Caenorhabditis elegans: one gene and its partners. The protein of the gene in region 3 purifies or fractionates together with the protein of the main gene of each other region. This does not show direct contact. Each region holds a gene or a part of one and is shown on either strand. Other genes may lie near its edges.

The links.
Region 1: the proteins of F37C4.5 (region 3) and W08E12.7 fractionate together in Caenorhabditis elegans (co-fractionation; one large-scale study listed by BioGRID). This does not show direct contact.
Region 2: the proteins of F37C4.5 (region 3) and hrg-11.2 fractionate together in Caenorhabditis elegans (co-fractionation; one large-scale study listed by BioGRID). This does not show direct contact.

What each region holds. Positions count from the first base shown.
Region 1 is NC_003282.8:3,293,374-3,297,126, forward strand, and holds W08E12.7 (Peptidase M24 domain-containing protein), read left to right. Parts: upstream 1-1,761; 5' UTR 1,762-1,771; coding exon 1,772-1,903; intron 1,904-1,953; coding exon 1,954-2,670; intron 2,671-2,724; coding exon 2,725-2,826; intron 2,827-2,875; coding exon 2,876-3,007; intron 3,008-3,055; coding exon 3,056-3,148; 3' UTR 3,149-3,653; downstream 3,654-3,753. Other genes in the region: pugs-9 (Protein Upregulated in Glial Subsets), read left to right, coding at 769-1,098.
Region 2 is NC_003284.9:3,233,297-3,237,049, reverse strand, and holds the start of hrg-11.2 (C-type LECtin), read left to right. Parts: upstream 1-1,641; 5' UTR 1,642-1,643; coding exon 1,644-1,823; intron 1,824-1,868; coding exon 1,869-1,980; intron 1,981-2,029; coding exon 2,030-2,652; intron 2,653-2,696; coding exon 2,697-2,757; intron 2,758-2,802; coding exon 2,803-2,973; intron 2,974-3,117; coding exon 3,118-3,189; intron 3,190-3,232; coding exon 3,233-3,424; intron 3,425-3,515; coding exon 3,516-3,633; intron 3,634-3,688; coding exon 3,689-3,753. Other genes in the region: Protein irg-7, read left to right, coding at 1-131, 175-320, 367-450, 495-811, 855-1,058, 1,106-1,139.
Region 3 is NC_003282.8:3,871,897-3,875,649, reverse strand, and holds the start of F37C4.5 (Protein F37C4.5), read left to right. Parts: upstream 1-1,843; 5' UTR 1,844-1,848; coding exon 1,849-1,998; intron 1,999-2,152; coding exon 2,153-3,478; intron 3,479-3,524; coding exon 3,525-3,719; 3' UTR 3,720-3,753. Other genes in the region: F37C4.6 (Pyridine nucleotide-disulfide oxidoreductase domain-containing protein 2), read left to right, coding at 1-162.

The DNA of each region.
Region 1 (3,753 bases), 580 kb from region 3:
ATCTAATAAGAATTGTCGTGTCGAGACCGGAAACCATATTTTTGGCGTTATAATCGCCCTTTTTTTGCGTCAGGGTAACATATTTTGTCTGAAGATTAAAGGCGCAAAAGTCACGGCCCGAGAAGTGGTACCTGTACGCAATTTGTCTACCGTATACCTGGACGTTTGGGCGCGTGTATCTCAAAAACGGTTGGTCCAGTTTTTTTGTGATGCATATAAAAAATGTCCGAAATTAAATTCTAAATTTTTTGGACCAAAGCTTTTTTCGTTATCACGCGCCCAAACCTGGTCTACACTCAAATTATCAGTAGAGCGCATTTGCATGGATGTACCACTTGCCGGGCCGTGAAGTATATTATTCCGGGAATACATTCCGGGAAAAATTCCGAGGATGCGTATTGCGCAACAAAATTTGACGCGCAAAATATCTCGTAGCGAAAACTACAGTAATTCTTTAAATTACTACTGTAGCGCTGGCGTCGATTTACGGACACAATTTTCGATATGAAATTCGTTGCTTAATTTTAATATTCCATCGATAAATCTAATCGAAAATTTTCGAAAAAAAATTTTTTTTTTGAGAAAATCGAGCCCGTAAATCGACACAAGCGCTACAGTAGTCATTTAAAGAATTACTGTAGTTTTCGCTACGAGATATTTAGATAACAGTTTTACAGTACCCTATTGAAGGCGCATGTTCTTTTTAAAAATATTGAAATTTTAGATTAAAAAACTTGAGTTTTTTAATCTGATAATATTTTTTTTCAGTGTCCACCGATTGAGTCACGTGGTTCCAGCACATCATCATTTTCGACAACGCCATCTTCGTCTGCCTCGCCGCTTTCCATCAACCAACTTCTCAGTTCTTCGTTCTCTCAACCGCCGGCACCCCAACTGCCTGTGCCGCTGGCGTTCAACCCGTTCCAGCTAGCTCTCTATCAGTCTCTAGTTGCGAACAACACTCTCGCATTTCCCGTTTTTGGCGGTCCCCCGTCAATATTTCCGTTGCTTGTTCCGCCGCCGCAGCCCCAGCCGACTGTTGAGTCGATCGAATTGCTGAAAATTCTCCAAAATATGTTGGCAAAACAAAAGAAGTGATTGATTCATTTCGATTTTCTGTCATTCTTTTTCGGTGACAAACAATTTTCAATTTTTCACAATTTTCAACGCAGTTTTGTCATTTTTCCATCTTCTGTCGCCTTATCTCCCACCTAGATGTCATGATGTTGTTCGAAATAAAAATTAAATAAATATTTTTGTTTCGAAAAAAAATAAATCGATTGTTTTTCCAAAAATAAACAACAGTTTCCCCTTTCAAACAAACGAAAAGTGGGCGCGAGAATAAAGAGACACCACAAAAAATTGTTGCTAACGCGCTCCATTGCGAAGGTCTCGCAACGATTTGTGTTCAAAAAGACATGCGCCTTTGAGCCTGTTCAAATTGTAAATCAGCATTTTTTACTTTTTTCTTCTGTTTTCTGCCGCTTTTTTAAAAGGAAATTCATTATTTTTACATCAAAAAGCCAATATCCCAGATAAATTTCATTAAAAATGCTAAATAATGCGTTTCGAGTAATATTTTGTTGGAGAAAAACTGTGTTTTAGGATAGGCCGGTTTCACACATGTTTGTTGGTATAAAAATGTTATTTTTTGCTTGGGATTTCAAAATTAAAATTATATTTGTTAAGCGATAGGATTTTCCTTCACTTTCTTCTCTCTAGTCTCCATGACCGTATCGATTTCAATGTTTATTCTTTCAGATAGATCAAAATGGTTAGAAAGGACAGTGAAAGCAGCTGCTCCAGCGATGGAAGCCACACTCACGAGGACTACACTTTGGCCAACGACGCCGTCGTCACCAAGTACCAGGTTGCTGCTGAAATCACCAATGCTGTTCTGAAGGTGCGCTGCTATAGTTTGGATTTTGTGTGAAACTAAATTTTTGTTTTCAGGAGGTCCTCGCCAACATTAAGGAAGGAGCCATCGCTGGAGATCTTTGCGATCTCGGAGACAAGCTGATTCTCGAGAAAACTGGAAAACTCTACAAGAAGGAGAAGAACTTCACCAAGGGAATCGCCATGCCAACTTGCATTTCTATTGACAACTGCATTTGCCATTACACTCCGCTCAAGTCCGAAGCTCCAGTAGTGTTGAAGAATGGACAAGTCGTCAAAGTCGATCTCGGAACACACATCGATGGTCTCATCGCCACCGCCGCTCACACCGTTGTAGTTGGAGCTTCCAAGGACAACAAAGTAACCGGAAAGCTTGCCGATCTTCTCCGCGGAACCCATGATGCGCTCGAAATCGCCATTCGTTCCCTCCGTCCAGACACTGAGAATACCACCATCACAAAGAACATCGACAAGACCGCTGCCGAATTCGGACTTACCCCAATCGAGAACATGCTCTCCCACCAGCTCGAGAGAAACGAGATCGACGGAGAGAAGAAGATCATTCAAAACTCTGGAGAGAAGCAGAAGGGAGAAATCGAGAAGATCAAGATCGACAAGCACGAGGCTTACGCCATCGATATCCTCTTCTCCACCGGAAAAGGACAGCCAAAGGACATGGATACTCGTACCACCGTCTTCAGAAAGAACGAGCAAGTCAGCTACCAGCTCAAGATGAAGGCTTCTCGTGTCTTCTTCTCCGATGTCAACAAAGTGGTAAGTGTCATTTTATCGATATTAGTTTCAATTCAATAATTTAATATTTTTTAGCACGGACCAATGCCATTCTCTCTGCGCAGCTTCGAGGAGGAAGTCAAGGCAAAGATGGGAGTTGTCGAGTGCGAGAAATACGGACTCCTTGTTCCATATCCAGTAAGCACATCAATTTATCGTTTCGAATTCTAAAAAAAAACTATTTTAGGTGTTATACGAGAAGGAAGGAGAGCTCGTCGCTCAATTCAAGGCCACCGTTCTTGTTATGCCAAACGGACTCCTGAAGATTGCTGGACTCCCATTCGATTCGGACGTGTACCAATCTGATTTGACCGTCAAGGTAACATACTTTAACAATGTTTTTACAATTATCATTAATCTTTTTCAGGACCCGGAACTCCAAGCCGTCCTGAAATCCGCCCTCAAGCCAAAGAAGAAGAAGGAGGCCAAGAAGGACGAGCCAGCAGCCAAGAAAGCATAAACTCACCCTTTTCACTTTCTATTTATGATTGCCCTTTTGGACCTCTCTTTCCTACTATCCCCTATCTGCCTCTTTAATGGTATTTAAAATGCCGATGGTTTTCTGTCACTAATGATTTCCAAGGTTGAGACTGGGTTTTGTATTGGGTAAAAGCCGTAGTCTCAGAACTACGCTCATTTCACTGCTTTTAGTTTCTCTTCCCTGGTAGACAACAAAATCATTCTGTTAAAATCTCGATGTTAAACATTTCCACCTCTTCCCACTATTATCCTTTTTCTCTTTTCTTCCTTGTGTTCAATTATCATTATTATTTTTTGTTGGTTTATTCTCGGTTATGTCTGTGAGCCGTTTAATTCATCTATGATAGGAATCCGGTTGTTGATTTGGGATCACATTCACTTTATTGATGAAAAAAGCCTGATCATATACTTGTTCTCAGTTTCCCTTCCCAAACCCCCGTTAATTTTTTTTTCTCAGTTTGTGTCCAATAAATTGAAATCAGCAGCAGCAGCTTCTTTTGTGTAACTCGATTCATTAACATGCTCGTTAGTTGTATTGATGCTGAACTTTGAATTGCTCCGATGGGGGGAGACAGGCTCCTTGTT
Region 2 (3,753 bases), on a different chromosome or scaffold from region 3:
TCGAGCAGGCTGCTCTTACGAGTACTACTCTGATTTGTTCACTTGCAACGGCGACATGATTGCCGTCTATGTTCATGGAGTTGATGAAGCAAACCAAAAGTTCAGAAGACAAGAAATTGTCATCTGCAATGGTAATATACGCTTACTTGTTTAATTGTGCAAGAAATTTTTCAGGACGTAGCCCAACAACCAACCAGCCAGCAACAGGAACAATTGGCCCAATCACCATGCCAACTCAACAAACCGCGCTGACTCAAGGTCCAGTAACTCAGCAAACTCAAGTCCCAGGAACTCAACCAACTCAGGGACCAGTCGCCACGGTAAATTTCAAGTATTACTGGTGATTTAGAAATTCTGAACTTACAGACCCAAAATCCATACACATCCGCTCAGTTTGATGTTGTATTTATGATCGATGGATCACAAAGTGCACAATCCAGCTTTGACTCGGTATACATTATATGCCCTTTATGTTTCCATCATATGAATTTCAGCTCACCAAATTTGTTCAAACATTCATGGTTTCGTTCAATGTTGGCCAGAGTGGAGCTCGTGTTGGATTAATTGTCGTCGGAGGTGATATCACAAACCCAATTCCTCCTGCTGCCAATCTGAACTCCCTCTCCTCTCAAGCAATGTTGAACTCTAACTTGGCCCAACTCAGCGGTGGCTACACTGACTTTGAAGACGCCGGGCAAATTCTTAACTACACTCTTCAAATTGTGTCTTCTCCCGATTTCATGGCGGCGAACAATGGTTACCGTAGTGGCATTAGCAACCATGTGTTGATCTACCTTACTACAACTACTGCGTAAGTGTTCAAAAGATTGCCAGATAAAATTAATATTTTTTAGCTTCGACACCGATCCAACTCCGGCAGCTCAGACAATTCTCGCGCAGAAGCAATACGGAATCATCACTATTGGTTATGGTGGCGCGACTGATAACAACAAGTTGCAAACTATTTCCGGAGGAAGTGCTTGCTCGTTTACAGCTCCAGATTTTGCTAGTTTGAATAACCAAATTAAGACCATTCAGCAACTTATCCTCAATGCCAAGTAAGATATATAAGTGTGTTCATTAAGTGAAATGTTCTTATTTTCAGCGCCAATGGAGGTGTCTACTGTATCAACAACTAAGGCAGTCGACCCGGAAATCACTGAAATAATTTGAATTTTAATAAACTTATCATTATTTAACAATTTATGTGTTGGACCGAAAAATCAAAATTACGAGAGAAAAAATATAATACAAAAGTGAAATGTGATGGCAATTCAATAAACTTTACTAGTGGTTGAACTTCAAGTCGAAATCATCAGAAAGTGCTTGATAATAATTTGATGATACAAAATCGTATTCTGTGACATTATTCTGCTACTACTCAATTAGAATGCAAAGGGCGTGGAATAAATTTTAATACTGTTTGAGATGGCAAAGATAAGAGTTTGCCACGGTGATATGACGTGCCGGACACACTCTCCTTTTGCGATTAAAAAGGGTTTAAATCATTATTTCATGATAATTTCATTAGATTTGCCAGGCTGCTCCTGCCTTTTCACATTCATTTTCAGAACTCAATACCTTTTACGATATTTAGTTTTTTTGGAGTTTAAGAGCAATTAAATTAATGTGAAATTTCAGTAATGAGAAGCTGGGTTTTGATTGCGGCGTTAGCCGTGATCTGCCTGGGCGCTGAGCCTGAGCTCAGTCACAAAGAGAGAATCCGCAAAGTCTTAAAGTCATGGAACCCGGCCAACAGTAATCAACTCTTCCACCCAGTCAGTGAACAGAAGATTCAATTCGATGAGCAGTCCGATCTCTTTGTAAGTTCTAGATTTCGTTTAACTATGTTCCATATATGGTTTCAGGTTGATACTCATCATATCTCCAAAAGATCTATCGCCGAGCCTCATGTTTTTGCTGGAATGGCCACCAGAGGATGTAACAAGCCAGGATACACAGGAGCCACCTGTCAATATCGTAAGTCGGATCACATATGTGTTTTTAAACTAAAAATGCAATTTCTTAGCATTGTGCTCTGCTCGCAATCCTTACATTCCTGATAACAAGGATTCTGACGATATCTCTATTGATGCAACAAATCTTGCAAACTGCAGTCAAACATACGTCGTTGTTGTTGATGAGACCATGCGGAATATCAAAATTGAGGTCGAAACTGAGTCACCATTGAATCCAACTTTCTACCTCCAATCTGAGAGTGGAGATCTGATCTTCCCTGACACTGACAGAAAAACCGTAACTTCCTATGTGGCAACATATGAGACTTTAGCGCCAGGCCAGTATCTTCTCGGACCAAGAGCTGATTCTGGAGATGAATTTTGTACTATGATGATGACCGCTCATACCAATATTCAAGTTACTGGAGGTTTTACATCAGGCGATCAACCAGAGCGCAGCGACTATCCAACCCTCAAGTTTGCCTATTTTGACACTGAATCAGCTGTTGTTCTTCATGCACAAGGACTACACTTTCCCGGTCAAATTCAGGCGATTGGATTCACTGGCGCCGAGAACCATATCTCAAGATACATTCCTATGGCAACTCGCTTCAATTGTACTTATCCATATATTTTGGAGAGGTATACTTGCAGAAAAATTGGAAATAACGATATTGGGCACAATTTATTACAGGTAAGTGCAATGAATTGATATAAATTGCAATCATAAAAGTTCAGGTTGAAGGAATGAGCGATAACGGATACGTTTTCCGTCGTATTCTGCCCTACCAATGTATTTGTAAGTGAACGTAGTTGACAACAATAATCAACCTGAGTAATTTAGTGCCACCAGTGTCTACCACCACTGTCCCTGCTCCAACAACAACCGCTGCTCCATTGACAACCTGCCAGAACGGAGGTCAAGTTTTGAAGGATTCCAGTGGTTCACCATACTGTTACTGTTTTGGACTATACACCGGACGTGACTGTTCTCAGATGTTGTGTGCTAATGGAGGTGAATACTGTAACTAGAGCTGTTAAATAGAAAACGCTATGTTGCCATTGATGTGCTACATGGTTGATAACACAAAGACAACCTTCTAAAAAGGACACTTTTTTGAGCCAGCCTAAATTGGTCATCAAATATTTTATTTTTCAGGATTCCTTCCAACTCCCACAAGCGAACATTGTGAATGTCCAGAAGGATTCACCGGTTTCCACTGTCAAAATAGTAAGTCGCCTCGGAAAATAAACTGATCACAAATGCATTACAGTTGTCTGCCCTGGTGCATCCGGAATTGATTTCAATGCTGAAAACCCGACTGTTACTCTGGTCATTCGTTCTAGAAGCCAATTGTCAGATGTTATTCAACAGGCCACAAATTCAGTTTCAAGAATTGTCGATGAACTATCTGCCGAGCCTGGCTATCTCACTAATTTCATCGTTGTGCTCTTTGATAACGCCAGTGAGTTGATTTGCAACTAATTTACCGGGGTGGCTCCCATAAGCCTACCTTCTTATCAGGAAACGGTAATGCATTATATTTTAATTTTTAGAGCTTTTGGTAAACCAGAGATATGACTCATGGGATGCCGCTATGGTTGATCTACTTAAAGCGATTAACTCTGCCCCATCCGACGGTGGATGTGATGATGTTGTTTTCTCTGCTGTTGCGTAAGTATCGACTAGTTTTTCAATGTTTTACAGAATCTTCATGGTTGTTTTACAGATCTGCTCTTTCTCTTTATCCAACTAACAAATCACCAATCTATGTAATCACTGATGCCAATCCAA
Region 3 (3,753 bases):
AGCCTTGACCAGCTGTACGTGTCCCGCCCGATCAGCAAATGGAGCAACTACTCAACGCCCATCGAGTCCCTCTACCTCTGCGGAAGTGGTGCTCACCCGGGAGGTGGTGTGACTGGAGCCCCCGGTCGGTTGAGCGCACTTCATGCCCTCAAACATTTCTAACGTTCTAAGTCTCTTCTCGCGGTTTTTTATTGTTTTGTTTGTCTTGCGCCAGTGACTCATAAAAACATTTCCAACACCATGATGTATTGCAAAATGTGTGTTTCGAAACTGCTGAGGAGACGACGAGGAAGTGATCTTTTGATTCACGATTTAGTTGCGGTGACCTTTGATTTTTGAGTGATTTGGTGGAATTAGAAATGTTAAGCGGGAAATCTTCAGAAAATTATAGAAATTTTCAAAAATGTTCGTAAAAGTTTGGGAAATAATTTCAGATTTTTAAAAAGAATTTACGTATGTATTTTTCTTTGGATTTTAAAATTAATTCTTCAAAAAATAGTTGAAATTTCTATTTAAAAAAAAAAAGAAAAACTATATCCAATTTATGTTCATACCTGAAAAAAAGCAAACATTTGTAATTTGGTATATTGAAAACTGTCAAGCTTTTCTATTTTTCAGGTTAAAAATCAATTTTCCACAGATTTGTCTTGAAATTTTCAAAAAAAAAGCTGTGGTTCTGTAGTTTGTGAAATTCGTATTTTTATTGAGTAGTCTAGTGTGATTTGTGCTCCCAGTTTTACAGCTCCTTCCGCAGGATCTTTTTTCGCCAACACAGCAAGTACGAAAACTCATCGCCACTTGGTCAAAGGTTGAACTCGTCTCAGTTTCGAAAAAAAAACCGAGAGAAACTCATCGGAACACAACAGAATGCCGCCCATCGCTTGATTTTGACCTTTTTCTTGTGTTGTCTGCTGCCTCTTGTGAAGAGATAGAGAGACAGCGAAAGAAATGCCAAAAACTCGTATAAAAGAGCGGCCAAAACGCCACAATTTGTTAGTTGTTGAGAGGAGTGTTTCCCTCAAATCTCTATGGAGATTTTTTTTTCGGGTTTCCCATGGTTTTCTGATCGTTTGAGCTTTGCTTTCCGCTTTTTCTCTTACATTTTTACTTTTTTAAGGCTTTTTCAAAACTAGAAAACTTCTCGAAATAACATACGAAAAATAAGATTGCGAAATACGTGAAATATCGTATTTTACTCAAAAAAAATTATTGGGAATTCGATTTTTTTTTTCATTTTATTTCAAATACATTTTCTGCCAAAATCGCAGTTTCCTATATTTTTGGTGAGTTCCGGGGAAAAATAGCTTCAAAGCTTTATTTCCATTTATAAATAGCTCTAGTTTGCAAATTTTTTGTCTAAAACGAGCGAAAGTAATGACATTTTTCAATTTTTTTTTTTCGAAAAAGTTCGGATATTATTGCGAAACTTGAAATTTCGGGAATTTTATCATGAAACAATTTTTTAAATTTGTAATTTGTAGTATTTCACAGTATTCTAGCAACATTTAAAAAATGTGCGAAATTTGAAAATTACGTGATTTTTTTTGTTGGAAAATATCAATTTCTGTATTTTCTAATTAGATTTTTCAGTGTTTTGCAAGATGAAATTTTAATTCAAAAAATCGTAGTTAATTTTGAACATTTTTGATCTACGTAAAAATGAACACTTTCAATTTCTGTTTGTTTCTTTTTTGTGTTGGGAGAAATTCGGAAGTTGCTTGTGTTTTTTTTTTGTTGAAAAAAAAATAGAAAATAGTCAGTTTTGTAGAATTTTATTTGTTAAACTCTCGTCTTAGCCTCACTTTTTCAAATTTTCCCTTGAAATTTACCTCAAAATTTCCAGAAAAAATGGCTCACATCGTGCAAACTCACAAGCTCACCCTCCATGACGTCGCCATCGACCAGGCTCTCGTCTACAGCTCCGACTCGAACTGCGCTGAGCTCAAGAGAACTTTCCAGGTCGAGTTGGCTCATGGCTACAATGAGGTTAAAGTTCAGGTGAGTGAAGGGCTATAAAATACGAGAAAAAATAATTTTTTTTTGCATTTTTTACTGCTAAGCAAACAAAACCATCGAAATTTCCAATATTTACCTTACCTGTCAAAGTTAAAGTCATAAAAACACTCACACAATGTGATAAAAAAATTTTCAGAACCTCCCATTCGACCTCGTCCAGGACTCGATCCGTGTTTCCGGAGCCGGCGAAGCTGTGATCCACGACGTCTCCGTCAAGAACCAGGAGGGTGCCGAGTTTGTGATCCCGGAGCGGGTTCTCGCAATTAAGGCGATCTTCGAGGAAAAGGAACGCGCCAAGGACAAGGTTGCCGATAGCCGAGTTGCCGTACAGAAGCGCATCGAGGGACTTGACAATCTGATCACCGAAGTCGCCAAGCACGGAAAGGACGGCGCCTTCCATTTTGACGGGCGCACAATTGAAAGTCTCAACGCCCTCCACGGATTCCATCAAGACACAACAGTGGATCTTCGCGCTCAGATCCGAACCCTGGATCAAGACCTGCGAAAGGCCGAGGAAGAGTACGCCCGTGCTAGCCAAGACTACGACAATACCGGATACAGATGGAGAAACTCTGCTCAGTATGCCAGTATTATTGTTGAGTCAGAAGCCGGTGGTGCTGCACAGCTCACCATCACCTACCAAGTGAACAACGTCTCCTGGACCCCGTTCTACGACATCCGCGTCACTGCTGGTGTTGAAGCTGAGATGCACGTCACCTACTTCGGAAAGGTCCGTCAGTACAGTGGAGAAGACTGGAAGACAGTGCCATTGGTGTTGTCAACCGCAAGACCCGCTCACGGAGTTAAGCAACTTCCGAAGCTCGGAGCCCTCGAGGCATCGATTGTTGTGCCCGAACCAGAATGTAACAGAGGTGGAAGAGGAGGTTATGGAGGTGGTTACGCTCAGGATTCAGTGGTGATGGCCTGCGCGGCTCCGATGATGGAAATGGGTAGAAGTAGAAAATCCATGAAAATGTCCTATGCGGCTGTGAAGTCCAGCAACATTGCCTCCGAGTTCAGCATTGGCCGCCCCGCCACCATCGACGATCGCACCGACGAGTACAAGGTGAACATCGGACAATTCACACTCGACACCAAGCTCTCCAACGTTACCGTCCCATCCCGTAACGCCACCGCGTTCCTCGTCGCCAACTCGGTCAACACCTCCGACTACCCACTCGTCGCCGGTCAGGCATCGATCTTCCTCGACGGAGCATTCGTCAACAAGACCGAGTTCGAAGATGCGGTCGTATCGCAAAAGTTTGAGGTGTCGTTGGGCGTCGACCCGAACATCCGCATCGAGTACAAGCCTGTCAGAAACTACCAGGAACAGAGCGGAACCGTCGAGAAGATCAACTCTCAGGTCACCGAGAAGACCACTGCCGTCACTAATCTTCGCCCCAACTCGGTGCTTCTCACCATTCGCGAGCAGTTGCCAAGATCCACAGATTCTAGAATTAAGGTAAAGATTGAATACATAAAAAGCCCCTAAATTTCCCATTTTTCAGGTCCACCTCAACACCCCAGAAGCCGTGGAAGTCGACGAGGCAAGCGTCGAGCCAACCGTCGGAGCCGCCATCACTCCGGAGAAGATTCTCGACTACACCGTCCAACTTGCGCCAGGACAGTCCAGCACTTTCGTCGTCAAGTACACTACCGAGCACCCACAGGCTGAGCAAATTCGCTATGAGGAGAAGTTCTGAAGTGCTTATGCGATGATTTTTCCGCTTTAACTTG